Callithrix jacchus: one gene and its partners. The protein of the gene in region 1 interacts with the protein of each later gene in a pairwise test. Links are inferred from orthologs where the notes say so. Each region holds a gene or a part of one and is shown in the gene's direction. Other genes may lie near its edges.

Region 1 (7,954 bases):
CTGTAATCCCAGCACTTTGGAAGGGTGAGGAGGGAGCATCGTTTGCCCCCAGGAGTTCAAGACCAGCCTAGGCAACATAGCAAAACCCCGTCCCTACAAAAAATATAAGAACTAACTGAGCATAGTTGCACATGTCTGTAATCCCAGTTACTTGGGAGGCTGAGGTGAGAGGAGCGCTTGAACCTGGGAGACTGAGGTGAGAGGAGCGCTTGAACCTGGGAGGCTGAGGTTTCAGTGAGCTGTAATAGTGCCACAGCACTCCAGCATGTAGTCCAAGCCTCTTTGATACAAGGGGCGCCTCCCAGCAAAATTTCTCCAGCCTTATGCTTAATATTGGATGTTACATTCTACCATCCTGAAGAAGCAGCTAAATCCATAATCACCCACTCCCCCTCCTGCTCCAAAGCCTATCATATCTCACTGTACCCTCATAGAGAATAGAAGTGTAAGGGTTGATGTGAAAATGGAGTTTTATCAGTAACGATTTTAAAAAATAGTTTAAATTTAAAAAAAATTACCTGACTCTATTTGACCATTAATCTTTTGTAAAACAGATAGTCCTTGATAATAATACTACAAAGCCAGTTTTTGTTATTCAATGATCAGTCAATAACAGATCTATAAAATTATACCTCCAGTTATATAAAGCAGTATTTTCAGGAAGCCAGAACTTATTTTAGGTCTTTTTTAAATAAAGGAGTTAATATTGCTCTGACTTTGCATTTCTAGCTTAACAGAAAACTTGCTGTGTAATTAATTAAAATGATTTGATCATTTAAGATGCTCCCAATCCTAAATAATGTTATCATTTTGGGAGTCAAAAACTCACAAGATCAATGCCTAGTATTGTGAGACTAACACCCCAGATTCCCTGTCCAACCTTATCTTACCCTGATAATGTTACTGTGCTTGAATTGCCTTTCTAATGCACATGATTCTTTGAGCATATTTTTTTGGTCTGTTTCAAAAAGGCAAGAAAATACCAGTCTGAGGCATATCTATGACGGTTGGGAAACAAAAGCATCCATTGGTGAAAGATTCAAGAGACAGAGGAGAGACTGAGAGCCTGTTCTTTGTGGCTGACCCACTGAATCTGGCATTGTTGCTGGTTGAGGCACAGATAAATCGTAGGTCCAAGCCTCTGATACAGGGGGCGCCTCCCAGCAAAAGTTCCCCAGCCTGACGCTTAAAACTGGATGTTATACTCTACCATCCCGACGAAGTTGCTAAATCCATGATCACCCACTCCATCTCCTGCTCCAAAGCTTATCATGCCTCACTGCACCCTCATAGAGAATGGAAGTGTGAAGGGTTGGTGTGAAAATGGAGTTTTATCAGTAACGACTTAAAGGCCAGGTGAAACCAGGGGAAGAGATGCATATTTTTTAATAGAATCCAAGAAAACAACTGAATAAGTCATAGATCCATTTTTATTTCCTTCATTTATTCCAGGGAGGCCAGAAAATATAGAAAATTTTATATGTCTTTTATTTTTTAGTTCCTTATTTCTAGCATTATTATAAGGAAAATAGGCCAGGCACAGTAGTGCTTTGGGAGGCCAAGGCAGAAGGATCACTTGGGGTGGCAGGATCCCTTGGGGCCAGGAGTTTGAGGTTAGCCTGGGCAAGGTAGCAAGGCCCTGTCTCTATGGAAAAAAAAAAAATGCATTTCCCCCCCCAAAATAAAAAGACAAACTTCCTTTCCAAAGTAATAATAATAATAAAGATAACACCTCTCTGTGAAGCAGTTAAATGACAGTGAGAAGCATGAATGTAACCAAACTGTGTTGCAAGGATATCACCTACAACTTACTTCTCTGTTTTTTTTTTTTGAGACGGAGTTTCGCTGTTACCCAGGCTGGAGTGCAATGGCACGATCCCAGCTCACCGGAACCACCGCCTCCTGGGTTCAGGCAATTCTCCTGCCTCAGCCTCCTGAGTAGCTGGGACTACAGGCGCGCGCCACCATGTCCAGCTAATTTTTTTGTATTTTTAGTAGAGACGGGGTTTCACCATGTTGACCAGGATGGTCTCGATCTGTTGACTTCGTGATCCACCCTCCTCGGCCTCCCAAAGTGCTGGGATTACAGGCTTGAGCCATGGCGCCCGGCCTCTTCCGTTTTTTTTTTTAACCGTTTCCTCTTCCTAACATAACATGGTAGGATGTATCTTCTTTAAATAGGGGAAATGTACTTTTTAAATAAGATATTATTTAACAACCTGTCATTCAGGAAGAAAGCTGAAGCTTGTAATAATAATAAAAAATCCAAATACATATTCTCTCCAAGTTAAGAACTGTTTATCATAGGTGGTTCTCAAATGTTGGTTTGGGGGAAGTTTTCAAGGTTTTCTGTTTTTGTTTTGTAAGTTAAGAGTGAACACCCTCTGCATCCTCCCAATCCTGCTCTCTCTTTTCCTACCCAAAGATAACCCTAACAATATATTTCTCCCCCACCCTCTTCCTGAGATCAATTCATAAGCAACACAAAAAGCCCTTCCTATTATTATTTGGGGTGGGCCTTCTAATTACAATGTTCAGTGAGCGAACATAGGAAACAAGTGGTTTGTCTTTTCCGAGACGAAGTCTTGCTCTGTCGCCCATGGTGGAGTACAGTGGCACGATCTCGGCTCACTGCAACCTCTGCCTCCCGGATTTAAGCAATTCTCCTGCCTCAGCCTCCCGAGTAGCTGGGATCACAGGCACCTGCCACCACGTCCGGCTAATTTTTGTATTTTTAGTAGAGACAGGGTTTCACCACGTTGGCCAGGCTGGTCTCTTAATTGCTGACCTCATGATCCGCCCGCTTCGGCCTCCCAGAGTGCTAGGGTTCCTTGGCCAAACTGCACGTGTGCTCTCTCTTAATAGTTCTCAGATGATGGGGGCAGGGTAGGTGGAGAAAGGGGGTGACAAGAAAAGCTACCTCTGCAGACAACCATGAGCCAATTTTGTCAGACCTGCGCCAGGATAACATTCCGTAATAGATAGTTCAGCCAGACTTAAGTAGAAAAGCAATGGCTCGTGGAAAACATGGTTTAAAACCAGAAGCCTGATGTAACTTTATTTGGGCTGCGCTTTCATCTTTCTTTAAATAACTTAGGGACCGAATAACGGGCCCCACCAGCAAATGCAAGCTCCCCTGCCTCCCAACCCGATTCTTCTGAGAACCTGCTGCCATCTGCGTGGAACTCCTGTAAGATGGCTCCTACGCGACGACCCTGCCAGAGAATCAGCTATACGTGCCACAAGCATGTCCACAGATCGCCTGCGTGCCTCAGCCCACTGACACTCGATGGGGCGAAAGGGTGACCTCGCATTTGATGCCTTTTGTCTCCCTGAACCAGACTCCCTCTCCTTCCCTTTCCTCCTACGCTCATTGCCTTTTCCTTAGCCCCTGTAACGCAGCGTGGGAGAGAAAACAAACTTGATTTCTTCTTCCGGGGATACCCCGGAGCATCGCTGCAGACCTGGGCAGGCGGCGGAGCCGGCGCGCCCCAGGCGTGCGGAGAAGTTGCGAGGACGCGCGCCGTCCGCCTCCCGCTTCCCCCGGCGCGCGTCCCTTAACCTCTCCGGCTTCCCAGAGGCCGGATGCAGCCAACGGGTCAGGCTGGCGGCTGGGGTCCCGCGGGCGGAAGTGAGAAGGGCGGCGGGGGAGGAGGCTGCGGGCTGAGGGCTAGGATTCCCTTCCCGCCTGGCGCCGCTCGGGAGAGCCAGCGTGAAGACGCCCGGCGCGCTGCGCCCGCCCTTTTTTGGCGCTGAGAGAAAGAAGGGCAGGGCCGCCGCCTCGCGGGAGTGGGCCCCGGGAGGAGGGGCCGCCGGAGAGGCCGGGCGAGCGCGGGTTGCCCTCACCTCGCTGCTCCTCCCGGGCCGCCATCCCTCGGCGCCCCACCCGGAACCGGCGCGCGCGTGGGGGCGGGGAGGCCAGCGCGCAGATCTGGCGGTGAGCGCCGCCGCCTCGGGGCTCCCAGCCATGTCGGCCGAGGAGATGGTGCAGATCCGCCTGGAGGACCGCTGCTATCCGGTGAGCAAGAGGAAACTTATCGAGCAGAGCGACTACTTCCGCGCCCTCTACCGCTCCGGCATGCGCGAGGCCCTGAGCCAGGAAGCAGGCGGCCCGGAGGTGCAGCAGCTGCGCGGCCTCAGCGCGCCAGGCCTGCGTCTGGTCCTGGACTTCATCAACGCCGGTGGGGCCCGCGAAGGCTGGCTTCTGGACCCGCGAGGGGAGAAGGGCGGCGGGGTGGACGAGGACGAGGAGATGGACGAGGTGAGCCTGCTGTCCGAGCTGGTGGAGGCGGCCTCCTTCCTGCAGGTCACGTCCCTGCTGCAGCTGCTGCTGTCCCAGGTGCGGCTTAACAACTGCCTGGAGATGTACCGCCTGGCGCAGGTGTACGGGCTGCCCGACCTGCAGGAGGCCTGCCTGCGCTTCATGGTCGTCCACTTCCACGAGGTGCTGTGCAAGCCCCAGTTCCACCTTCTGGGATCTCCTCCCCAAGCCCCAGGGGATGTCAGCCTGAAGCAGAGGCTGAGGGAGGCCCGGATGACTGGGACTCCTGTCCTCGTGGCCCTTGGTGACTTCCTGGGGGGACCCCTGGCCCCTCACCCCTACCAGGGGGAGCCCCCGTCCATGCTCAGGTACGAGGAGATGACTGAGCGTTGGTTCCCGCTGGCCAACAACCTTCCTCCCGACCTGGTCAATGTCAGGGGCTATGGGTCCGCCATCCTGGACAACTACCTCTTCATAGTGGGCGGGTACAGGATCACCAGCCAGGAGATCTCCGCTGCGCACTCCTACAACCCCAGCACCAACGAATGGCTCCAGGTGGCCTCCATGAACCAGAAGAGGTAAGCACCCCGGCAGAGTGCTGATGCCTTCTCATTCATTCACTTGTTCATTAGTTCATTGCCCCCGTGTTTACTGAGCCAGTAAATAGGGGAGGGTGTGCTGAGGTGGAAATGACATCTTCAGGAATGTTGTTGGCCTTAGTCCTGGCAAAATTCCCGGTGAACTAAGAAATTGCAAAGAGGAAGTCCCCAGTGAGGTCAAGTAGCTGAGTGGTTTTTTGGCAGGTATTGTGCCTTTAAGTGAAACTGCTTTCTGTGGCTCTGTCCTTGTGAAAAAAGATGTTGTGGTTTCCTACAAGAATTACTTTAAAAGAAAGTTACTCCTTAATTGAAAAGAAGTTTTGTCTTAGTTTTTAGGGTGTGAGCCTGATGATAATGATACATTGGACAGTAACCTGTAACACTGACTTCGGGTTTTGTTTTGTTTTTCTGTTGTCAGTGACTATGACAACAGAGCCTTCCACACTGTGACATCCAGCCATGATCAAGAGATAATTACGGGAAATGTGTTTATATTTGCAGTAGGGGTTGCTTTTCTTATTTTATCCTCTCTTTTGCTTCCTTCCCTGGACAGCCATCATCACTGACCCAAAGCTCGAGGCTGGAAGTGTTCAACTTCAGAATTGGAACATTTTCATTAATCCAATCTTCTCCCTCTCCCATCCTGCGAATCCTTCCTGCCACCAACTTGGGTGGCTTGAAGAAAGGAAGAGGAGGAGCTTGGGGAGTGGGATGAGAGGGGAGAAGGGAAAGGAACCAGGGAAAGAATATGAAAACAAGAGCAAAGAGCATATACAGGAAGAGATGGTAGGAAATAAAGATGGTAGCACCCAGGAGGCCTCAGAGTCATTCGGAAGCGGGGAAAAGAATCCATGTATCTCAAGAAAGGATGAAAATACCCTTTCTTACCATCCACCTGTTTCCACCTCAGTCCTCACAGGATCCTGGTCCTGAAGTGTGGAGCAAGGAGTTGGGGAACTCATAGCTAGGCAAAGAAAGTCTTAACAGTAACAGTGAAGCCATTATATATCTATTGGACTTGAGGGTCCTCCTACGCCAGGGATCATTTGGGGAAATAACTGGCTTGCTTTCTCCTATAATATGAAATTCATTTTGAAAAGTATGCTTTTTTTTTTTGCCTGATAATATATAGTTGCAGAAAACTAGAAAATGAAAAACAATGAAGAAGCAAAAAGATGAATATTCCTACTCGCTCCTCCTAGAGGCAGTAACTGCAGGTTGACGTATTTCCTGCCAGCCCATTTTTAATGCATTATTTACGCCGTTGAGATGATGCCATGTTTAAAATTTGGTATCAGGAGGGTTATTTTAAAACAAATTCTATGCGCTGTAATTTAAACAACAAAGGAACATTGTGTGGCTATAGGCGGTGGTCTGAGTAAGGGTGGACAGTCCTGAGTTCTCTGTCTCCTTTTGCACTTGCCTCCAGCTGCATATCATTTGGTGCTCACCAGGCCATCCTTAGTGTCACAGTACCTCACATTTCTTCTTCCCTTCATACATCCTTGGTAGTCTTTGTCTTTTTTTCTGGGAAGGCCCTTTTCATCCCCTTAAAAAAAAAGCATTCAAGTAATGCATGAATGCATGCTTCTCAGAAAAACTGCAAATTACACCAAAAAAGTGTAGAGTAAATGTCTGCTCTCAGGGTACAGAAAGAAAAAAAAAAAAAAGACTGTTATCAACAGACTTTTGTTACCTTTAGATACTATAAATGTATAAACATTTATATTTGTAAATTATATATATACTTAATATAAATACAGTTAACCCTTAAACAATGTGGGGGCTAGGGACACCAGCCCTGCATAGTACAAAATCCCTATATAACTTTTAACTCTCCCAAAACTCAACTACTAAATAGCCTGTTGACCAGACGCCTTACCAATAACTTAATTAACATGTTTTGTATATGTATTATATACTTCATTCTAACAATAGAGTATGTTATAGAAAATAAAATGTTATTTAAAACTCTAAGGAAGAGAAAATTAAGTAGAAGTGGATCATCCTCATCCTCTTCATGTTACATAGGCTGAGGAGGAGAAGGAGGTAGAAGAGGGGTTGGTTTTGCCGTCTTGGGTGGCAGAGGCAGAAGACAATCTGAATATGGGTGGACCCTCTCAGTTCAAACCTGTGTTGTGAAAGGGCCAGCTGTATAAGTATGTTGATAGTGGTTAGCAATAGGGGAAAAGTATTTATGTATATTAATGTGCATGGGGGTATGCATATTAACTTACACGTTTTTTAAATTCTAAAATTGACTAGGTTGTACTAACTATTATGGCACTTGATATTTCCACTTAACCATATCTGAGAATTGTTTTCTGTGTCAACAAATGTAGATCTACCTCACTCTTTAATGACTGTATGGCATTCCAGCCTAGGGATGTACCATAATGTGGTCAGCCTTTCCCTTATTTATGAACATTTAGGTCACTTCCATTTGCATTAGCTGTTTCAATAACCATTGCCATATTGAACATCCTGGTAGATGCATTGTGTATCTTAGTAGGCATATGTGGGTTGGTTTCATATGTCCAATTTGTGGAATCCCTGGATAAGTAGGGCAAAGTGTATGCATGTCTCAAGTTTTGTTGAAGCTGGGTGCAGTGGTTCATGCCTGTAGTCCCAGCTACTTGGGAGGCTTAGGCAGGAGGATCACTTGAGCCCAGGAGCTGAAGGCTGCAGTGCACTGTGATCAGGCACGTGAATAGCCATTGCACTCTAGCCTGAGCAACACAGTGAGACCCCATCTCTATAAACAGTTAAAAATCAATAGATTTTGGTAGCTCCTGCCAAATTGCCCATCAAGAAAATTGTTCTGTCCCTCTTCCATCAACAGTATTTGTGTTTGCCAGTACCATATACTCTTGCCAAGGTAGAATATTATCATCTTTTTTTCCCCAAACCTAATGGACAAAAACACTAGTGTGATTTTTCCCAATTAGAAGAGAGATTATTCTTTTTATATGTTGGTTGGCCATTTGTATTTCTTTTGTAAATGGTCTGTGCCAGTCTTCTAAAAATTGGCTTTTCTTCACATTCATTTTAGCAATTCTGCATATGAATAGAGACATTAATCTCTTGCCTGTTA
Region 2 (7,242 bases), on another chromosome or scaffold:
AAGTTATACAGAAGCTTACCCTTACAGGTAGAAGCCTTTACCTCTCTAGTGCTAAGTCATGCCCACTTCTGGGGTTCACTATTAGCAAGTTCATTTGGCCAGTATACCTAAAGCTTCTGTTAATAACAGAAGTGTTATTTTATTCCCTGTTTTGTTTCTCATCTTGTTCATAACTTAACCAAGGAAGAAGTTTTCTGATTTTGGGTGCTGCCTTTGTATACCTTATACTATTTTATTTAATTTTGCATGGACTTTCATTATTTTTGCATATATGTGTGTGTGTATATATTTATATGTGTATATATATGTGTGTGTTTATATATAAAGTCTGGAAAGATATGCATCATACTTTTAAAAGGGATTGAAAAAATGGTTGGTAGAATTAGGAGGTTTTTCCTTGCCTGTACTTCTCAATTAATGGAATTTATTAGATATTTAATTAAGAAATAGTTAAGCATTTTAAGCCTCTAAAAAATATATAGTCTGCAGTCTGCTCTGACTTTCCAAAGCAATAGTCTTTTTTGCATAAGGGAAGAAGGTGAAAAACCTGAGTATGTTTTACCTGCATAGTTTGGTGCCTGGTTCTAGAACTTTCAGTAGGCAAAAATACATTACTTTTCTAAAATCCCTGGTCTGTCATTACATCACATGTCAAAGCAATTGCTTTCCATCCATGAGTATTAGGCAATTTGCATGGCTTTTTAAAGTGAGTTCTAGCATTCAACTGAGGTTAACTGCATTGGTGTGTTTCTCTGTACTCATGAAGTATAGTTGTTTGCTAAGCCTGTTCATTTTTTCGCTTCTTTTGATTATTTCTTGCTATTAAAAAAAGAAGAAATTACTCTGGATTCCTACCATTTTTCCTGATTATCAGTGTGATATTACCTGCCATATATATATATATATATATATATATATATATGCTTTGCTACATAGGTTATTCTATATTTGAAATTATAGGATATATGTAATAAAAGAGGAAAAGACATAAAATGATACAGTGTTTCTAAAGTGGTAATTTTTATATCTCCACTTCTCTGTACTAGCAGAAAAAAATTGTATTCCTTGATACTGGAATTTTGTCAAAGTTAATAAAGTAAAAATGCTCCATAACTAAATCATTATATTCCCATCATGCTTTTTAATAGTTCACTTTTAATTTTATTTTATTTCTCACAATGCAGGCTAATTACTTGTGAATTTTTATTTTGAATCATATATTTTAGACCACAAAAATATAGTGAAAATAAAATATTTTCTGGATACATACTGTACAACTTAATAAACCTTTATAAATATAATGAAGCTCCTGTATACTCTTTTTTTATACCCCCAAATTTGATGTTTATCATTCTCATACATGTTAATATTTTTACTACCCATATATATATATATATGGGTAGGGATATATATATATATCCCTAAAGAATATAGTGTGTTTTTTGGATGTTACAAAACTTCAGGTGAAACATTTACATATTGCTGGTGGGAATGTACCATAGAATAGTTGCTTTGGAAAACTGACCATTCCTAAAAGAAATTAAACATAGAATTACCATATGACACAGCATTTCTACTCCTAGATATATGCCAAAGAGAAATGAAAACATAATGTCCACACAGAGATTTGTATGTGAATGTTCATTGCAGCAGTGCATTATTTATATTAGCCAAATAATTTCTAAAAATCCAAATGTTGAGTGGGCATCATGGCTCAAACTTTTAATCTCAGCACTTTGGGATGCCGAGGCAGGTGGGTGTGATGTTGGACACCGGTAGTCCCAGCTACTCGGGAAGCTGAGGTGGGAGATTACATGAGTCCCAGGAGATGAAGTCTGCAGTGAGTCGTGATCACACCAGCCTGGGCAACAGAGTGAGACCCTGTCTCAGTAAACCAACCAATCCAGATGTTAATGAACTGGTGAATGGTTAAATGTGGTATGTCTATACAATGAAATGTTATTTAACCATAAGAAGAAATGAAGTACTGATACATGCTACAACGTGGATGACCCTTGCAAACATTATGCCAAACAACAGAAGCCAGTCAGAAAAGGACATACATTGTATGGTCCTATTTATATGAAGAATCCAGAATAGGTAAATCTTTAGAGACAGAAAGTAGACTAGTGGTTACCTAGGGCTGGGAATATGTGGGGAGAATGAACAGTGACTGCCAATAGGTACAGATTTCTTTTGGAAGTGATTAAATGTTCTCAAATTAGATACTGGTGTTAGTTGTATAACTCTTTGACTATAGTCAGAACATTGAATTGTACACTTAAATGTGTAAATTGTATTGATACATGAATTATAGCAATAAAACTGTCTTAAAAAACTCATGTAAATATTATAAATTCTTCTGCTGCTAGCTTTTTTGACTCAGCATTATAAACCCAAGCAAATCATATTTTGAGATTTATATGTTTTTGTTCATTTAATTTTGTATCCCTCATTTCATATTCCCTTGTATGAATTTAATATATTAATCAGTTTTCCTTTTTGCTGTCAAAAACAATGCTTCAGGCTGGGTGCAGTGGCCTATAATCCCAACATTTGGGAGGCCAAGGAGGAAGATTCCTTGAGCCCAGGAGTTCAAGACCAGCCTGGGCAACATAGCAAGACTGTCTCTATAAAAAAAAAAAAAATTACAAAACCAATGCTTTATTGGATAGTTTAATGCATATTTACTTGTATAATATGCTTTCTAATTTTTTTAAGAGATAGGGATCTTACTCTGTCACCCAAGCTGGAGTGTAGTATCATGGAGGCATGATAATAGCTCACTGCAGCCTTGAACTCATGGGCTCAAGCAGTCCTCCCTTTCAGCTTCCCAAGTAGCTAGGATTACAGGCATTTGCCACCATGCCCAGCTAATTAAAAAAAATTTTTTTTTTTAAATTGCAGAGACAGGGTCTTACTATGTTGTCCAGGCTGGTCTTGGACTCCTGGCCTTAAATGATACTCCTGCCTTGGCCTCCCATGCCTGGGATTACAGGCATGAGCCACCATACCCAGCCCTGATGATACATTTTTAAAGCTTTCTTCCAAATTAGAATTTGATGGGATTATTGATACTTAGTAGTTTATTTAGGAGGCATTTTATTGCTTTACGTCAGGATATTTAATTTATTTAATTACACTATTTAAAATTGAAGTTAGTAGAACTGCTTTTATCTCCTGAATGTCATCTGTAGTTTCTTCGACAAGAGAAAAGGTAGGACTTCTTAACTGTTGGGCCTTTGCTGGTATTTTAGTGTTATATGAGATGTGTCCTAATTATTGTGTATGCTAATATATTTTATAGAAAAGGCCACAAATGAGTACAACACTACAGAAGATTGGAGTCTTATTATGGATATATGTGACAAAGTTGGAAGTACACCTAATGGGTAAGCTGTCCAGTCATGCTCAGTGAATGTTTAGGAACTCGATAACCAGTGTCTCTTTTTGTGATGAAACTTTGAAAGAAAAATGAGACTTTACCACAGTTGATCCTTGAACAACACAGATTTAAACTTTATGGGTCCACTTATACACAGGTTTTCTTCCACCTCTGCCACCCCAAAGACAGCAAGACCAACCCCTCTTCAACTCAGTAATTTTCTTAATAACTTTTTTCCTCTAGCTTACCTTATTGTAAGAATACAGTATATTATATATATGCAAAATATATGTCCATCTACTGTTAATGCTATTGGTGAGGCTTCTGGTCAAGAGTAGGCTATTAGTTGGCTGGGCATGGTGGCCCACACCTGTAATCCTAGCACTTTGGGAGGCCGAGGCAAGCAGATCATTTGAGGTCGGGACTTTGAAACCAGCCTGGCAAACATGGTAAAATGCCGTCTCTACTGAAAATACAAAAATTAACTGGGTGTGGCGGTAGACGTCTGTAATTGCAGCTACTCTGGAGGCCTAGACAGGAGAATCACTTGAACCTGGGAGGTGGAGGTCGCAGTGAGCCAAGATGGCGCCACTGAACTCAGCCTGGGCTGCAGAGTGAGACTGTCTCAAAAAAACAGAAAAAGAGTAGGCTATTAGTAGTTCAATTTTTGAGGAATCAAAAGTTTATTTTCAGCTGCATGGAGGGTTGGTCCCCCTAATCTTCATGTAGGTCAAGGGTCAGTTGTTTTACTTTCGGGACATAAAAGTTAAAAAAGCCCGAATGCTGGATTTATGGGATTAACTTCATCTGGAAGGAACAAATGAAAAAGAGTTCAACTCAAAAGCTCCTGTGGTAACACATAATTAAACACTTTACATAGTGGGGAGACGTAACAATGTATAGGTGAGTTATTTAAGGAATTCCTCTGGGACTTAGATGTATATGGGAACTTTTAAATAATGAAGTAGATAAATAACACAATAGATAATATAACAAAAAAGTCTTTGAATAATGTACATATAAATATAATAGGTAGCCTAATGAAAAAAGTGAATATGAAAAAAAGTGCTTTTGGGGAGATGTTGCAATTAGCTGAACTATGTATTAGAAATATAAGAGTGATGAAAGCATTTGTTTTAACATTAAAGCTTTTCATAGCATATTCACGTGTTTATACTTGAACCTCTTTTTTTTTTTTTTTTTTTTTTTTTGAGACGGAGTTTTGCTCTTGTTACCCAGGCTGGAGTGCAGTGGCGCCATCTCGGCTCACCGCAATCTCTGCCTCCTGGGTTCAGGCAATTCTCCTGCCTCAGCCTCCTGAGTAGCTGGGATTACAGGCACACGCCACCATGCCCAGCTAATTTTTTGTATTTTTAGTAGAGACGGGGTTTCACCATGTTGACCAGGATGGTCTCCATCTCTTGATCTCGTGATCCACCCGCCTCGGCCTCCCAAAGTGCTGGGATTACAGGCTTGAGCCACGCACCCAGCCTGTACTTGAACCTCTTAAAATTATATGTCTTGTTAGGTTTTTTTCAAGATAAGATTTTGCTGTCTGAAAGCTAAATCTGTCTTGAAGAAATGGAAAGATCTGGTATACATCTCTTGTGTTGACAGATCTTTTGTGAAATGATTTGTTTCTTGATTTTGGAATATGCACCGTTTGCAACATGCTTTAGCCTATGAACAAAATATTGTGTAAAATCGTTTTATAGATTTATTCCTTTAACAAAGTGAAATTTCCAGGACTTTAATTTATTTAATATATTTTTATTTTATACTTAACGTTATTTTATTTTGAGACAGGGTCTCACTCTGTCATCCAGGCTGGAGTGCAGTGGCATGATCACAGCTCACTGCAGCCTCAGACTCCTGGTCTCAAGCAATCCTCTTGCCTCAGCCTCCTGAGTAGCTAGGAGTCTAGACACATGCTGCTATGCCCAGCTAATTTGTAAATTTTTTTATAGAGATGAGATCTTACTTTGTTGTCCAGGCTGGTCTCAAATTCCTGGGCTCAAGCGATCCTCCTGCCTTGGCTTCCCAAAGTGTTGGAATTACAGCTGTGAGCCATTAAAGATAAAGTTGTTTGGTAATAGAATACCTTATATTTTTAATGTTTGAATTAAATTTATCAATATTTAACTGTCTTTTTTTTTTAAGAGCGAAAGATTGCCTAAAAGCCATAATGAAAAGGGTAAATCATAAGGTTCCTCATGTTGCTCTGCAGGCACTAACTGTGAGTAGAAGCCATGTTATTATTGACCCAAATTTCAAATGTGTTTTTATTGTAGTAAGTTAATATTTCAACATTTGTATATTAATTTTTTATTTTAATAGCTTCTTGGGGCATGTGTGGCAAACTGTGGAAAGATATTTCATTTAGAAGTATGTTCCCGTGATTTTGCAACAGAAGTACGTGCTGTGATTAAAAATAAGGTAAATTTTAAAAGGAGAAGAAATTTAAGTCATTAAAAAAATATATAGATTGTGTGTAATTATAGCTATATGTGGTATTACTGAAGTAATTATAAGTATTACAAATGAAGTCATTTTTAAATAAATTAAAATGAAATAAACTTCTATTCTGAAATTTGATTTTTTAATTTGTAGCACCAAAAACTTCTCCCCAAAGTATATATACTGTAGATAATAGCATATCTTTTTTGAGGGCTAGTAAGTAGTCATTGCTTTAAGCATTTTACATATACTGTCTTGTTGAAAGCTCTTAACTACCCTTGGAGCATTAGATTCTTGGAAGTTAAATTCCCTTATCATTCCTATTTTATAAATGCAAAAACTGAGTCTTAGAGAGAAGTAACCTCTCCAAGGTCACGCAGCTAGTAAGTGGGAAAGGCAGGATTTACATCCAAGTTACTCTGATTCCATTCTCCAAAACAAAGAGGAAAGAATCCCAGAATATAAAAGATTTGTTGTCATTATAGTAAGACTTAGGAATTGGTGTTAAAAACAGTAATTTTGTGTGAAACAACTACATCTTAACATGTAAATAGGCATCTATCAATTACTCAATTAGGCTAGAAATTGCTGGACTTTTGTTGATGTTCATATGATTAAAGAGAATTTTGAGAGTAATTCTCCTGGTTAAATAATTTAAGTACGTATTTTAACTATAGATGTTTGTTTATTTTCCTTTCCTTTTCCTTAAAAGGCACATCCTAAAGTATGTGAAAAACTGAAGTCTTTAATGGTGGAGTGGTCAGAAGAATTTCAGAAGGACCCTCAGTTTAGTCTGATATCTGCAACTATTAAATCTATGAAAGAGGAAGGAATTACTTTTCCTCCAGCAGGTTCTCAGGTGAGAGATTTATTCAGACCCATGATTGACCCTCTAATATTTTGAAGGTATGTATCTTATGTAAAAACTGGGCAAAGTATGTCTTGATTATCGTTTTCCACCTCTACTTCCCAAATGACTCTCTAGCATAATAACTTACATTTCAGGTACCATGTTAAGATGTAGTCTATTACATTTAATAGACATTCTAATTTTTATGTTTATTTCTTCCACATAACAGAACCTTGAGAAGTTAGTCAAACATAAATAATAACTCCTCTAAGTCTGGAGTCATGCAAAAGGCATAGGTGTATGAGATAGCCCTTATATTAAAAAAAGTATAGCAAATTTGAATGGTAGCTTTATACATGTGAAAAATACCTAATTTAGATTTTAAGTAGCAAATACAGGATGAGGGGAATAGACTGTATGCTGTCTATCTTAATACCAAAGAGAGAGCAGTAACCACAGGTTGGAATGGTGAAGAGGATGAAGAGGTAGAATTTTGAGACTTGAATGTATTAATATTTTATTAGAGAGAAGTAAAGAAGTTATGTCAGGA
Region 3 (7,726 bases), on another chromosome or scaffold:
CTGAGGCAGAGAATTGCTTGAACTAGGAGGCAAAGGTTGCAGTGAGCTGAGATGGCGCCACTGCACTCCAGCATAGGCAACAGAGCGAGTCTCTGTCTCAAACAAAAAAAGAAGAAGAATTAGTCAGGCATGGTAACATGTGCCTGTGGTCCCAGCTCCTCCGGAGGCTGAGGTAGGAGGATTCCTTGAGCCCAGGAGATCAAGGCCACTTGAGCCATGTTCATGCCCCTGCACTCTAGTCTGGGTGACAGAACAAGACCTTGTCTTCAAAAAAAAAAAAAAAAAAAGTAATGAGTTGATAACATTGTGCTAAGTTATCTTTATCTACATATGTATATATATTGTTTCTTTTGCAAAACCTTTGGAGAGAAAATTGCAAGCATCCTGATATTCTATCCTTAACAGTTCAGCAGGCATGTCTTTTTTTTTTTTTTTTTTGAGACAGAGTCTCGCACTGTCTCCCAGCTGGAGTGCAATGGCACGATCTTGGCTCACTGCAACGTCTGCCTCCCGGGTTCAAGCCATTCTTCTTCTTTAGCCTCCTGAGTAGCTGGGACTACAGGAGCCACCACGACGCCCGGCTAATTTTTTGTATTTTTAGTAGAGGCAGGGTTTCACTATGTTGGCCAGGCTGGTCTCCAACTCCTGACCTTGTGATCCATCCGCTGTGACCTCTCAAAGTGCTGGGATTACAGGCTGAGCCACCATGTGCGGCCAGCATCTCTTAAAAATAAGGACATTGGGCCAGGCGTGGTGGCTTACACCTGTAATCCTAGCTTTCTGGGAGGCCAAGGAGGGCAGATCACCAGAGCTCAGGAGTTTGAGACCAGACTGACAGTGCGAGACTCCGTCTCAAAAAAAAAGGAATAAGGACATTAACCTACAAGCCCCAAAAATACTATTTCACTTTTTTTTTTTTTTTTTTTTTGAGCCGGAGTTTCGCTCTTGTTACCCAGGCTGGAGTGCAATGGCGCGATCTCGGCTCACCGCAACCTCTGCCCCCTGGGTTCAGGCAATTCTCCTGCCTCAGCCTTCTGAGTAGCTGGGATTACAGGCATGTGCCACCGTGCCCAGCTAATTTTTTGTAATTTTTAGTAGAGACAGGGTTTCACCATGTTGACCAGGATAGTCTCGATCTCTTGACCTCGTGATCCACCCGCCTCGGCCTCCCAAAGTGCTGGGATTACAGGCTTGAGCCACCGCGCCCGGCCCTATTTCACTTCTAATAGAATCAAGAATTCCACAATAACAACGAATATCCAGTCTATTTCAAATCTCTCCAGGACCCAAGAACATCCTTTATAGTTGCTTTCTTTTCTCCAAAATCAGGATCCAGTGAAGGATCACGTGCTAATTTGGTTGTAATGAAGAAATTACATACTATATTTTATTCTGGGATATTCCCCCACCCGAATCCTTTTTTTGTGTGTGTGAGACAGAGTCTCACTCTGTCATCCAGACTAGAGTGCAGTGGCACAATCTTGGCTAACTGCTACCTCTGCCTCCTGGGTTCAAGTGGTTCTCCTGCCTTATACTCCTGAGTAGCTGGGATTACAGGCACATGCCACCACGACCAGCTGATTTATTTTGTAGTTTTAGTAGAGACGGGGTTTCGCCATGTTGCCCAGGCGGGTTTCCAACTCTTGACCTCAGGTGATCCATCTGCCTTGGCCTCCCAAAGTGCTGGAATTATAGGCGTGAGCCACCACACTCAGCCCCAAACCATTTTTTATCTTTTCTTGACATTGAATTTCTGGCAAAATAGCCCAGTCGTGCTGTAGAGTGTCCCACATTCTGGATTTGTCTGACTGTGTTTAATTTGTTCCTCTCTATTGCCAGTAAACTGGAGGCTGAATCTAAAGGCCTGGGGAGATTCTGCTTATGCAGTGAACTGGGAGACTCCACAGGGTATGTCCTAATTCTTATTAATGTACTTCCTAATCCTAATGCATTATGGTAGGTGGCACCCAGTGTCCCGCCATTGGTAATGCAGAATTTCATTACATGATTAAGATTATGAGGGCTACATCATAAAAGGATTTCATCCTTTGCAGTTAGCAAATAACCTTTGAGATGATGCTTTAGAGCCTGTCAGGACCCTATCTCTAGACTGTGCTCTTATAGATACCATCCTATTTAAACTTTGCTGTGAAGAGGTAGGCAAGACTATCCTTATTTAACTTCGTGTAGCTTGGAGAGGTCGATCAGTTTTCCAAGGTCACAAATCTACTGAGTGGTGAATCCGGAGTCGGAATTTGAACCCGGGCATATCTGTAGTGTAGACCCCTGTCGGGGCGTGATGTGTAAGAACCTTAATTGCCATATTTGGCAGGTGCATGGGTAGTTGTGAGGGGCTCGTACTTTGAGAGGCAAAAGGCCCACCCGCCACCATTCCCCAGGGTAAAAAGCCACCTCTTTTCACCCTTCACTAGAGCAGCTGCCCGGGCATGCGCCCTGAAGCCAACCTCCCCTCCTTCAGAATCCGCCCCCTACAGGCTCCGCCCATCACCGTCCAGAGCCAATCCCTGGGGCGAAGGGAGGGGCAGCCACGAGAGTGGGCGTCGCTAAGGTTAGTTAGGAGTCTGGAGTCGTGCGCTCGAGTCAGAACTGCGTCTTGCGATCCAGGTGCCGGTTGCTGGAGGAGAGTGAGCAAGCGATGCTGCTGCCGCCGTTTCCTGATTGGCTGTGGATGGCTACCTCTTTGTTCTGATTGGCCGCTAGTGAGCAGGGTATGTAAATGAAGGGGCCTGGGGAGAGAAGGGGTGCCAGCGGCCGGGTCCTTTACGAAGTTCGATCCCTGGGTCCGACAGGTGCCCGTCTGGGCTGACCGGGATCGAGACACACGGGCCTCTATGTGCCGTCTGCCCCGGCCGGGCCGGGTGAATCACGCCGCAGCCCGAGAAGGGGGCGGAGGCGCCGGCTCCCTGGCTCCGGCTGCGTGACTCACCCGCCCCCGCCGCCGCCGCCGCTTCGGGAGGAGCCGCCTCCACTGCCGGAAGCGAGCGGAGGCCGGGCGCACAGAACAGCCCGCCGGGGGTCCCGGCTCTCACGGCCCCGGGAGGCCGGCAGGAATCACAGCCGGGAAGCGGGGCAGTAGGAGTCCTGGGGTCAGAGGGGCCAGAATCCCCGGGGGAAAGCCGGCCTGGGCACCGCTAGGGGGCGCCGGGACCCGGGGGCGGAGTCGGGGGTCGGGGGCGGAATTCCTGCGGTTCCTCACTCCTGGGACCGCGGGGAAGGGGACGGAGACCCAGTTTTGACTAGTGTGATGGTCCACTCTTAAGATCTTGCTAGGCAGGGTCCCGGGAACTGGACCCTGGACCCTTACTGGCCCAAAAAGGTAGGTAGCGCCAGGGGTCCAAAACTCCAACCCCACCCCCAGCCACTCCAAGAAGAGAGTGGGTCCTCAAACTTATCTCAGTGACTGACCCCAGTGCCCAGCACGATTTCCCGGCAAGCCCCGTCGATTCTGCCTCCCAAATAAATCGTGACTCGACCGACTTCCTTCCATACACTACCAGCTCCTCCTCCAGGCCATCACCATCGTCCGTCCCAACCGAGTACAGCTTACCAGTGGTTCTCAGATTCCCCCTCTTCCTCCCCTCCCCCCAGTCTTCCTCAAAGCAGCCATGGGGGGACGGAAACCCAGTCAGCTCACAACACCACTCCCCTCCCTGCTCAAATTCCTTTAATGACCGCCCACCACGCTCATGATAAAATACAGACTCCCTACTTCTGCATATGTGGCTTTCTGTGACCTGGCTGGTGCCCGTTTCCTCTGCTGCTCCCCAATCTGGTCTCCTACCATGTCACTCTCTGTATGCCAGGCATGCTAGTCTCTTTCAGTTCAAGCCCATCCAGCCTCTGGGTCTTTGGTTGCCTTTTTTTGTTGATCCCTCCTCCCAGAATCCTTTTCCCAGGGGGTCTCCCTTGGCTGACTTCTCTGGCCTGAGGGCTCCATTCAAATGTCACCTCCTCTCGGGAGCCTCCTCTGATCATCTGAAAGGTCTCCAGGACCTTTTAGTGTCTTCCTGTAATTCTCTGTACATTTCCTGTGTTTGCTTATTTATTTACTGTTTGAAATATATAGTAGACAATAAATATTAAACTATGTGAAACTAGTTTAGTATTTATAATTTATACATAATTACTTATAATAAACTATGTGAAACAGCTGCTTTTGTAGGGGAAAGGTGAATATTGGCCATTCCACATGGTTCACTGAAGACATTATAATGTTATCATTAAGAGTATTTATTGGTGGTCTGGGCGAGGTGGCTCACACCTGTAATCCCAGCACTTTGGGAGGCCTAGACAGGCAGATCGTGAGCGCGGTCAGGAGTTTGAGACCAGCCTGGTCAACATAGTAAAACCCTGTCTCTACTAAAAATACAAAAATTAGTGGGCGTGGTGGCGGGTGCCTGTAATCCCAGCTACTGGGGAGGCTGAGGCAAGAGAATTGTTTGAACTTGGGAGGCAGAGATTGCAGCGAGCCGAGATCTCGCCATTGTACTCCAGCCTGGACAACAAGAGAGAAAAATTGTCTCTCAAAAAAAAAAAAAAAAAAGGTGTGGCAGCTCAGTTATAATACCAGCACTTTGGGAGGCTGAGGCGGGAGGATGGCTTGAGGCAAGGAGTTTGACACCCTGAGCAACATAGTGAGACCCTGTCTCTACAAAAAATAAAAGGAGAAAGAAAAAAGAGTACTTATTGACTGACGCAGGAGGATTGCTTCAGGCTAGGAGTTTGAGACCAGCCTGGGCAACAAAGTGAGACACCATCTCTATTTTTTTAAATAAAGAAGTCCATAAATATACTTTATAAAATATAAAATACAAAATGTAAGAAGTCTATAGGCTGGGTGCGGTGGCTCACGCCTGTAATACGAGCACTTTGGAGGTCGAGGTAGGCAGATCACTTGAGGTCAGGAGTTTGAGACCAGCCTGGGCAACATGGTGAAACCCCATCTCTACCAAAAATACAAAAATTAGCCGGGCGTGGTGGCTTATAGCTACTCGGGAGGCTGAGGAACGAGAATCACTTAAACCCGTGAGGCAGAGGTTGCAGTGAGCTGAGATCATGCCATTGCACTCCAGCCTGGGCAACAGAGCGAGACTCCATCTCTTAAAAAAAAAAAAAGTCTATAAATATACATCTACAATTAAATAAAAATTGCCTATATCTTTAAAGTTCCCTAACAAAAGCTAGGCACAGAGACGCTAAGTGACTTGCCAAAGATCCTACCTGCAGCAGCTGTCAGATCCAGGCTTTGAACTTGACATTTGTTTTCCATAACTTGACTTTAACTCCCTGCTCTCTGCAGATGCTGAGCAAGGGTCTGAAGCGGAAGCGGGAGGAGGAGGAAGAGAAGGAATCTCTGGCAGTCGACGCCTTGTGGCTGGATCCTGGCCACGCAGCGGTGGCACAGGCACCTCCGGCTGCAGCCTCTAGCTCCCTCTTTGACCTCTCGGTGCTCAAACTCCACCACAGCCTGCAGCAGGGTGAGCCAGACCTGCGGCACCTGGTACTGGTGGTGAACACGCTACGGCGCATCCAGGCTTCCATGGCACCCACGGCTGCCCTGCCACCTGTGCCAAGCCCACCAGCAGCCCCCAGCATGGCCGACAACCTCCTGGCAAGCTCAGACGCTGCCCTCTCAGCCTCCATGGCCAGCCTCCTGGAGGACCTCAGTCACATTGAGGGCCTGAGTCAGGTCCCCCAACCCCTGGCAGATGAGGGGCCACCAGGCCGTAGCATCGGGGGAGCGGCGCCCAGCCTGGGTGCCTTGGACCTGCTGGGCCCAGCCACTGGCTGTCTACTGGACGATGGGCTTGAGGGCCTGTTTGAGGACATTGACACCTCTATGTATGACAATGAACTTTGGGCACCAGCCTCCGAGGGCCTCAAGACTGGCCCTGAGGATGGGCCGGGCAAGGAGGAAGCTCCGGAGCTGGACGAAGCGGAACTGGATTACCTCATGGACGTGCTGGTGGGCACACAGGCACTGGAGCGGCCGCCGGGGCCGGGGCGCTGAGCCCTTGTGTTGGGATGGTTGTCTGGTATCTGAACTGAGCTTGGTGGCTGGACCAACTGTCCTCAAAAAGACACAGCTGGCTTCCCGAGTCTAGAGAACAGGGCTTGGCCACTTTGCAGAGACAGAATCCAGTCCTGGACAATTTCACGTCCGTCCTCCTGTCTCAGGGCTAGCGGGGAAGCCTGGGATTAGTCCCTAGTGATGGAATGACAGGATCTGGTGGCGGACTGAATTCCCTGGCCCTGCAGTCATAGCTTGGGCTGTTCCTTCTCTGATCTGGGAAGAGACCCCAATCAGATTTTTCAAATTAAAAGCAGTCCTGGGAAATCTCAAATCTGTGTGCTTCTTTGTCTCTGGGCAAATGTGAAGGCGAGATATTTTATTGGGCTTAGACAGACTGTGCCAGGCAGAGTTCTAAGCACTCGACATGGGTTAACTCATTTAATCATATAACAGCCCTACAAGATGGGGTAGCTTTATTATCATCCCCATTTTACAGGCAAGAAAACTGAGGCTCCAAGGTCATCACTTGAGGAGGTGGGTTTTAAAGTGTGAACTGAACTTAGTTTGTTTTAGGTAGGGTCTCACTCTGTTGCCCAGGCTGGAGTCCAGTGGTCCGGTCATGGCTCACTACAGTCTCAAACTCCTAGGCTTAAGGGATCATCCTGCCAGGTCACTTTTTTTTTTTCTAAAATTTTATTTCTTTACCTTGCCAGCAGGACGTCAAGGCCACTTTTTAAAAAAGAAAGCACACTTTGGGAGGCCAAGGCCATTGTATTACGAGGTCAGGAGTTTGAGACCAGCCTGGCCAAGATGGTGAAACCTTATCTCTACTAAAAATACAAAAGTTAAAAATAACAACAACAAAATACAAAAGTTAGCCAGGCGTGGTGGCACACACCTGTAGTCTCTGCTACTCTGGAGGCTGAGGCAGGAGAATCACTGGAACCCGCGAGGCGGAGGTTGCAGTGAGCCGAGAACATACCATTGCACTCCAGCTTGGGCAACAGGAGAGTCCATCTCAAACACAAAAAATGACAGCAAGTCCTCGCCTGGCGTCTACTTGTATTTATTGGAGGGGAGAGGGAGAGGTTGCTTTCAGAATGGTCCAGAAATAAAAACACAAAACCTGGAGCCTGGGCAGATCCTCTCCAGGAGCCCTGAGAGTCGGCTCTCTCGAAAAATGGGGATGGAAAGGGGGACAACAACCCGTTTTCAGAAATAAAATCCACTCAAATCTGTGTTGGGCAAAGGATAGTGCTGCTTGGAGGCTGTGTCTGAAATAAGCCCACCAGCCTTCGTGGCTGGACTGCGGAGAGGGCGCTCAGGGCGCAGGCAGCTGTGCCTTCCTTCTAGAAGAAACCCAGGCCCGGGCAAGCTGGGGCCACCTGCCCGTGTGCTGGGCCCGGCCGGAGCGCAGGGTGTCAGCAGCCGCCCCCGCGGTCCAGCCGCATTCCAGGCCCGGCTGGGAGGGGCCCCACACTCAGCGGCCTGGCGCGGGACCCAGGGTGCGTCCTTCCTGACGGCCTGGGGGACAAGGCGGAGCCTGGGGGTGGTGCACGGAGGGTAGGGAGTGTCACCGTGAAAACTGTGGGCGCGCATGCAGAGAGGCGCCGGGGGCTGGACGGTGAATCCCGGGGCCAGCTGGGCCTTGAGCGAGGGAAGTGCCGCCATCGTCGGGTCCCCGAGCCTCGC
Region 4 (7,832 bases), on another chromosome or scaffold:
AAGGTAACTTTAATGATTCGATCCTTAACAGGCACCATGTTTTCAATCTGGTCTGATGCATGACCTGCAACTACTGATCCTCCAAGTCCAGTAGTCTAGAAAAAGATACCAAACATGTTAATACTTTTAGGTGTTGATGATCTATTTATTTGATAAAAAGTTTAAAAACAATTTAGTATTAATAATTCATTTGGAGCCAAGTTTACATACTAACCATTTGTGTAACCATGGCAAGATTCTGACCACTTTTGGGATGTCATGAGCCTGTATTTGTTAAAGTCATTCCTATTTTTCAGTAATCCCTTGGTTACCTGGCATGGTCACAAATGAGTCATTTGGGAAAAGCTTGAGCCCAGCCTAAGCAACATAGGGAGACCTCGAGTCTACAAACTCAAATAAATACACGTGCACACACACACATAATAAGAATGAACTACAGCTAAGAATACCAGTCATGGTGTTAAAAAACTTTCCTGCACATTGGAATCACCTAAAGCATACTTAACAATTACTGATGCCTGGTTCCCACTCTGGTATTGTGATTCACTAGATAAGGGAACTATTATCACTTACAATAGAACTCACAATTTTCAGCTAAGCCATTTATTAAAAAAAAAAAAATTCCCTTTATTGCTAGTATATTAACTATTAGTCATTATTAGAAATAAAATTTACCCATGACTTCAATTTCGTTGAAAATACTTAAATAATTCCATTTTTCCATATTCTTGACTGGTCCTTTTCCATATCACAGCTTTCATAATCCAAATTAGATTGTAGCTTCACTTCTATTAATATATTCTGCATCGTAAGTATTTTCCCATGTTGGTTATATTTTTGGATCTTTCTCTGTATAGTAGAGCTTTTATATAAATCACTCATCAGAGCACCTAATCCCTATGGCCACAGAATCAAATAATCATGGGGCATCAAGAATATTTGTGTCTGACATTTCATTTATTCATGATAGTTATTTCCTTGTCATCAGGTACTTTTAAAGAAAAAGCCCTTACGTCCAAGGTCATCTTTCTTCTGATACTTGAGGTTGCCAGAATTCTGATTTCCAGATAATTTGCCTGTTACTATGCTAGGGGGAAAAAAAAAAAAAAGCAAATTTGAGGCTAGGGGATGACTCCCAGCAAGATACAGTGTTAGCATCTTCTGTTTGTTACACAAGGCAACTAACTTCATTCAACTGCCATGCAACATTACTGAATTATATTGTATCTCTAAAAGATGCATCAGAGGGCAAAGCTTTATCCTTGCATATCCTTCTGCCTGCGTGCTATAATGTTTAAGATGTAACTCCTTTTCCTGAAGAATTTAAGTCACTTGAATAAAAATATGTTTAAGTGTCCTCCCTTAATAAAGATTCCCTGATATATTCTTTGAATATGAGTTCTTCCAATTTCTAAGTTCAATGCCTAGAGAAAGTAAAATAGATAAGAAGACTAGAAAAGAGAACTAAAAAGATGTCCTGGTCTCTAATCTAGTTGTACTACTAACTAGCTCTAAGAATTTAACAGACTACAAATTACATTTGCCTTCCTCACCTATAATTGCACATGGACACATTTCACATACAATATTATCAGTTATTTCAGTTTGGGACAGGGTTTCTCAATTTTGGCACTATGTACATTTTGAGCTGAATAATTTATTTGGGGGTGGGGCAGTGCCTTGTTGGTTATTTAGTAGCATTCCTAGCCTCTACCTATTAGATGCCAGTAGCACCCTATACCCCCCACCCTCCATGTTGTGGCAACCAAAAATGTCTTCAGACATCGCTAAATGTTCCCTAAGGAACAAAAATCACTCCTCCAGCTGCCAGTGGTTTGAGAAGGATCCAGATTTGCTGATTTGGTTCAGTTATGCTCATGACTTAACTAATTGGTAGTTTTATAATTCATGCTTGGGCTTGGCCTCTAATGATAAGTAAATTCACATTCTATACTCATCCTCAGAAATCAACTATTGCAATTTCCACATAAATGCTGGCATTAGAGACTATGCCAGAAAAGAAAAGTACTTTTGTCTTCTGCTGCTTCATCATCTGAAAGAAAGGTAAATTGATCTTCCCAGCCTGGGCATGGTGGCTCAGGCCTGCAGTCCCAGCCAAGGCAGGAGGATTGCTTGAGCCCAGCCTAAGCAACATAGGGAGACCTCGCCTCTACAAACTTAAATACACGCACACACACACACAAAATAAGAATGAACTCCAGCTAAGAATACCAGTCATGGTGTTAAAAAACTTTCCTGCACATTGGAATCACCTAAAACCTACTTGACAATTACTGATGCCTGGTTCCCACTCTGGTATTGTGATAAAATGAATAATGTGTGTGGATTTTTAGCAGCTCTCCAGGTGATTCCCAATGCTGCTGTACAGCGAATTTTAGGAGCCACTATTTTAAACACATTGAATGAACGCAATGTGTAGCTCTTGTGGAATGATTTTTAAACCGAAATTCTTGTCCCTATCCTAGGCTTCCTAACCAGAATCTCTGGGGAAGGGGATCCCTGGAACGTGTATTTAACGTTAAGCTCCACAGGTGATCCTAATGCCCAGCCAAAGCTGCAAATTACTAAGAACAAAGGAGAAATCTATGAAATACATGAAACTTGACCTTGCCAGTGGTTCTCAAAACTTGGCCTCAAAATCAACTATATAGGACTTACTAAAATATAGATTGCTGGTCCCGCCCCCCGTGTTTCTGACTCAGTCCTGGAGTAGGGCCCTAGAATTTGCACTTTTAACAGGTTCCCAGGTGATGCTGATGCTGCCGGTCTTGGGCGCCAAACTCCCAGAACCGCTGCAATGTACTTAACAGAGTCCAGGTTAAGTACATTACAGTTACATATTAAGAGGGGCAGGGCGAGAGCTCCTCAAAGGACCAATTAATGCTCCAATTTCCAGAGTTATACCCTCTGGAAAATCACATGTGGTCTGCAGAGTGAATGTATGAATAATACACATTTTAAAAGCGTGTGTGCGCAGGAAGTTAAGGCTGCGAACTTTTTTGGTGAGATGCAGCTCATACATCAGGCAGTTGCACTCTGCAGCGTGGAATAAGCACAATCACTGAGAAGAATTCCGTGCTACTTGCAGTTTTGCCACCAATATCTTTGGTTGCTTTGGGTAAGTGGCTGTTTTGAACTTCTCTCCTTTTAGGTAGATAATATGGGAAACCTCTTCCACCAACAACTCGCAGAGCGAGGGATGTCCCGGGATTTGTCCTGCAACCCAACCTCTCGCGCCGCGCCACTACGCGGGCAACGCCGACCCTACCTGGCAGTAGAGCCGATAAAGGGGTACGGCGGCGTAGGACACCCCCAGCATGCCCACGGCGACCGCGGCCACGTAAGTGAGGGCCGTCTTGTTCCGCCGCCGCCATTCCTCCTCCTGTGCGCGCCTGAAAGGGTTCGAGCTCTTAGGCCGCCGCGACGGCTGCACTGCCGGATCCCTGGCTCCAAGGTTGCAGCGCTTCCATGTCCCCAGCAGCCTCAGTCCTCTCTCGGCACCTCCTATCCCATTCCACTCTGGCCTAAGAAACGGCTCTGCCCTCTCTGCAGGCCGCGCTGTAGACCCACGGTGAAACGAGTGCCAGCCACAGAAAAAGAGACGCCTCCATGCCGTATGCCAGACCCCACCCATAACACCCAGAACGAACACCCACCCGCCTCTCACGGACGAGCAGTCAAATCTCGCGAGGCTTAATATGTATCGCGAGATCTGGGTTGAGCCTGCCGCTGCTTTGGCTACCAGGCTCCTCAGGTGGCAGCGCCTATAGTCGGGCTACGGAGGCCGGGTTGCTAGCTTACGGGTAAGTTTGCGTTTTGCTTTGTGACTGTTCCTCTCGCTTCCCGCCAGGGCTTCTCCAACGTTTAAGAAAACGCGTTTTGCTCGTCCGCGTGCAAGCTTGCCATCACTTGGGGTTGTGCCTGTGATCTTTTTAAACTCCACCAGCCTTTGTCTCGACCCAGCAGCCCTGGCGGCGTTCTCCCGCGGTCTTTTCTCCTGGGGTCCCCTGGCCGCTGGCTCTTGTGCTTACTACCCTCGACTTGGTTCAGGGATCATCGCCTCTCTCAGGAAGCCTTGCTGAGTTAACCGCAGACCTCTTGGACACCCACGACACCTGCATTTCCTCAGCCCGTGGACAGTCGGCTTCCCCTGCTCTGATGCCCCTTTACGACTTGCCCAGTGGAAATCCCCGCAGCTGGAGCGGGAGGAAGGCTGTCAAGCTGAAGTTTGTTCGGGAGAGAGTGACCAAGATATGAGGAAAGGAAAGACTGAGAGAAAAGAACTACGTGGGGCCATGTAATAGCTTTCTTGAGTTGTCCCACAGGACAAGCTGGAGGGGAGCAAACAGCGTAGCGGAGTTTACTGTCATAGAAGGAAGCATCTTTCTAGAAACTATACTATAGCAGTTAAGAGCTCAGCTTCTGAGGTTAGAAGGTTCTGGATTTTTACCCGACTCCTCACTATGGCCCAGGACTCGTAGGCCAGTTACTTGGCCTCTCTAAGACCTGGTGTCCTTACTTGTGACATGGAAATCATAACAGTAAGTGAGAATATTCATATAACGTAACTTTCATGATGCCCGAGGCATAGTAAGAATTTAGTTAGGCTGTATTTCTACTTGCTATCTAGCCATTTCTAATGGCCAGAGCAGATATAATTATCCCCACCATGTGGATGAGGAAGTTGGAGGCCTGAGAAACTTTAAGTCATTTAACATTTTATTTATTTATTGCACCCTCAGCTGTAGGCCTGACATTAATAGACCTGCTGGCTCTATAGCACAGAACAAGTTGGAAGATCACTTATGTGATGGAGTGACCTTTCTACTGAAGGACTCAGAAGATAATCAAGTAACAGTTACCTAAATAAGGGAATTTCAGATAACAATCTGTGCAGTGAAGACAATGAAATAACATAATGTCATTGAGAGTGTTGAGAAGGGGTAGTAAAGTAAGGCCCTTCTGAAGAGGTGACATTTGAGTTCAGACCTGAACGATGATAAGGAACTACTGTTTGATGACAATTCCAGGCCAAGCAAAGGCCCAAGGGAAGGAAAGAGCTAGAAATGACTGAATAACAGAAAGGAGGCCAGTGTGTTCCTAACACAGTGAAAAGTGGTAGGAAATGGGGTCAGAACAGGTAACAAAGACCTGATAATACAGAGCCTTTTAAGCCAAGTCCAAGGGTTTGGATTTTATTCTAAAAGTAAAAGGAAGCTACTGGAATGTTTGACGTATATAAGTGATATAATCTGACTCACATTTTTAAAAAGGTATTGGTTACTTTGTGGAGAATGGATTAAAGGTAGTGGAAGAATGGAAGTAGAACAGTTAGGAAGCATTGCAATAGTCCACGTGAGTGATGATGGTCACCTTGAGTGAGTAATTGGTTAACTTGAGGTCACAGGGCCGGAAAACTGCAGAACCAATAAAATCTAAATACCTTCTGACTTCTTTCTTTACACTGGCATACTGTCTCAAAAATTTTAGGTCTCCATGATTCTACAGATTTATTCATATTGTGTTACCACAATATTTGAAAATCCTTTTCATCTGCCTGCATCTTGGTTCTTGTACAAGATTCTCAGCTCTTCTAGGATGAGATTTCTCATAGTTTAATTTTCTTACAGCATAGACTGAAATCCCTGACACCAACAATACATTTCCTCTCACCATTGTTTTTCTCCAGGCACTCCTTCCTTGTAGCAGTATGAATATATATCAGTAATACAGTCTTTGTCTTAGACTCTAGTATTTTATTTTTTGTATAATAACTGCAAAAGGAAACTCTTGTGTACAGTAATATTGATAGCAATGAAATGGTGTTGGTCTTTGTAGCTTTCTACTTTATTAAAAGAAAATATGCATCATATCTGATCTTAAGATGATAATGTGAAATGACAGTTCATGTTTATGAAATACTTTTGTATGACAAGTAAAATATTTTGGTTTTTTTACTTATATTGTGAATGAAATGCATAGAACATCATTTAGTTCAATGTCCAATTAACAAAGATATTAAACATATGTTTATTACATATTTCTACAACATAATAGTACTCAAATTTCTTGTATACCCTTCAACATTAGAGAATGATAAAGATTCTTCAATCTTTATCATTTCTACACCATTTGAGAATGGATTTTAGACTTGATGTTTCAGAACTGTATACTTACTTATTTATTATTATGAAGACACTCTTTCCAAACCACAAAGCAGGCATCAAAATCAACAAGTTAATATTTATCCAGTATTACCTTATATTGTCAGCTTGGACTACCAATAGCAAAATATCGCAGACCAGTTGCTTAAACAACAGAAGTATTTATTTCTCACCGTTCTAAAGGCTGGAAAGTTCAAGACCAAGGTATCACTTGGTCACTTCCTGGTGAGGGGTCTCCCTGGTTTGCAGACATCTGCCATCTTGCTGTGTCCTTACATAGATTGAAGTAAATTAGCTCTGATATATCTTGTAATGACACCAATCCCATGAGATCAGGTTCCCACCCTGATGACCTCATTCAACTATAATTACTTCCTAATCCAAATACAGCTACATTGGGGGTTAGGGCATCAACGTATGGATTCTGGGGGATATACACTAAGTTCTTTACACCATGTTATTTATGGACTCTACTTAAATTACCCTATTTATCCCAATCATTTCCAATTTAGATCTAGGATCTAATCCAGGATTAGCGTTCTTATTTATCAAGCTTCTTCAGTCTTTTTCAATCTGGAATAGTTGCCAATCTTGTTTTTCATATATATATATATAATGTAATATATATATTGAAGAGACAAGATCTTGCTGGGTTGCTCAGGCTGGTTTCAGATTCCTGGCCTTAAGCGATCTTGGTCTCCCAAAGTGCTGGGATTACAGGTATGAGGCATCGCACCCAGCCTTATCGTTCATGACTTTGACATTTTTGAGGACTACGGGTTGGTTACATGATTAAGTGTTCCAATATAGTTTTGACTGATGCTTCCTCATGTTTGTGACCCCTTGACAGGAACATCATAGAAGGGATGCTATACTTCAATCAGTGAATCCTCTTAGGTGTCACATGATCTTGATTTAGTCCATGGCTTCCTGATGTTAACTTCTATTTCTTTAAGATTGTATCTGCCAGGTTTCTCTGTTATAAGGTGAATTAGTACATATGTCACACTCATAAATTAATAGGCAATGTATGTTTTGTGGGGAGAAGTTTGTGACTTGTAAGGAGAAGCTTTGAGACTATAAATTCTATTTCTCATCATACATTCTACCAGATTTAGCATCCACTGATTCTTGTTTGAATCTGTTATTACTGTGATGGATACCAAATGATAATTTTCTAACGTTATCAATCCTTCTAGGTTTATTAGTTGGCATTTTACTGTAAGGTAGAGTTTTCCCTGCTATATCCTATATTTCTTGTTTATTTGTTTATATCAGTATAGACTCATGAGTTCTTATTTTAATCAAGGGTTAATATTTACTATTATTATTTATTTATTCATTTAATTTTTGAGATGAAGTCTTGCTCTGTTGCTCAGGCTGCAGTGCAGTGGCAAGATCTCGGCTTACTGAACTTTCACCTCCTGGGTTCAAGCAATTCTCCTGCCTCAGCCTCCTCCGTACCTGGGATTACAGGCAGGCGCCACCACTCCTGGCTAATTTTTGTATTTTTAATAGAGACAGGGTTTCACCATGTTGGTCACGCTGGTCTTGAACTCCTGACCTTGTGATCCACCCGCTTCAGCCTCCCAACGTGCTGAGATTGCAGGTGTGAGTCATGGCTCCCAGCCTATTGCTATTATTTTT

What was found.
Region 2: the proteins of KLHL42 (region 1) and STAM2 interact in binary tests that used the Homo sapiens proteins (3 or more experiments, as listed by UniProt). The two-hybrid records come from large-scale screens. The link is inferred for Callithrix jacchus from reciprocal best matches to the Homo sapiens genes KLHL42 and STAM2.
Region 3: the proteins of KLHL42 (region 1) and SERTAD1 interact in binary tests that used the Homo sapiens proteins (3 or more experiments, as listed by UniProt). The two-hybrid records come from large-scale screens. The link is inferred for Callithrix jacchus from reciprocal best matches to the Homo sapiens genes KLHL42 and SERTAD1.
Region 4: the proteins of KLHL42 (region 1) and STXBP4 interact in a two-hybrid assay, tested with the Homo sapiens proteins (2 studies listed by BioGRID and IntAct). The two-hybrid records come from large-scale screens. The link is inferred for Callithrix jacchus from reciprocal best matches to the Homo sapiens genes KLHL42 and STXBP4.

Annotation. Positions count from the first base shown.
Region 1 is NC_133510.1:43,439,295-43,447,248, reverse strand, and holds the start of KLHL42 (kelch-like protein 42), read left to right. Parts: upstream 1-3,645; 5' UTR 3,646-3,967; coding exon 3,968-4,839; intron 4,840-7,954. UniProt on the Homo sapiens protein: Substrate-specific adapter of a BCR (BTB-CUL3-RBX1) E3 ubiquitin-protein ligase complex required for mitotic progression and cytokinesis. The BCR(KLHL42) E3 ubiquitin ligase complex mediates the ubiquitination and subsequent degradation of KATNA1.
Region 2 is NC_133507.1:78,219,480-78,226,721, forward strand, and holds part of STAM2 (signal transducing adapter molecule 2), read left to right. Parts: intron 1-3,307; coding exon 3,308-3,392; intron 3,393-5,545; coding exon 5,546-5,621; intron 5,622-5,722; coding exon 5,723-5,821; intron 5,822-6,554; coding exon 6,555-6,701; intron 6,702-7,242.
Region 3 is NC_133523.1:35,980,537-35,988,262, reverse strand, and holds SERTAD1 (SERTA domain-containing protein 1), read left to right. Parts: upstream 1-2,603; 5' UTR 2,604-2,729; intron 2,730-5,320; coding exon 5,321-6,031; 3' UTR 6,032-6,365; downstream 6,366-7,726. UniProt on the Homo sapiens protein: Acts at E2F-responsive promoters as coregulator to integrate signals provided by PHD- and/or bromodomain-containing transcription factors. Stimulates E2F1/TFDP1 transcriptional activity.
Region 4 is NC_133506.1:111,238,517-111,246,348, reverse strand, and holds the start of STXBP4 (syntaxin-binding protein 4), read left to right. Parts: upstream 1-3,752; 5' UTR 3,753-4,562; intron 4,563-7,832. Other genes in the region: COX11 (cytochrome c oxidase assembly protein COX11, mitochondrial), read right to left, coding at 1-95, 3,290-3,655. UniProt on the Homo sapiens protein: Plays a role in the translocation of transport vesicles from the cytoplasm to the plasma membrane. Inhibits the translocation of SLC2A4 from intracellular vesicles to the plasma membrane by STX4A binding and preventing the interaction between STX4A and VAMP2.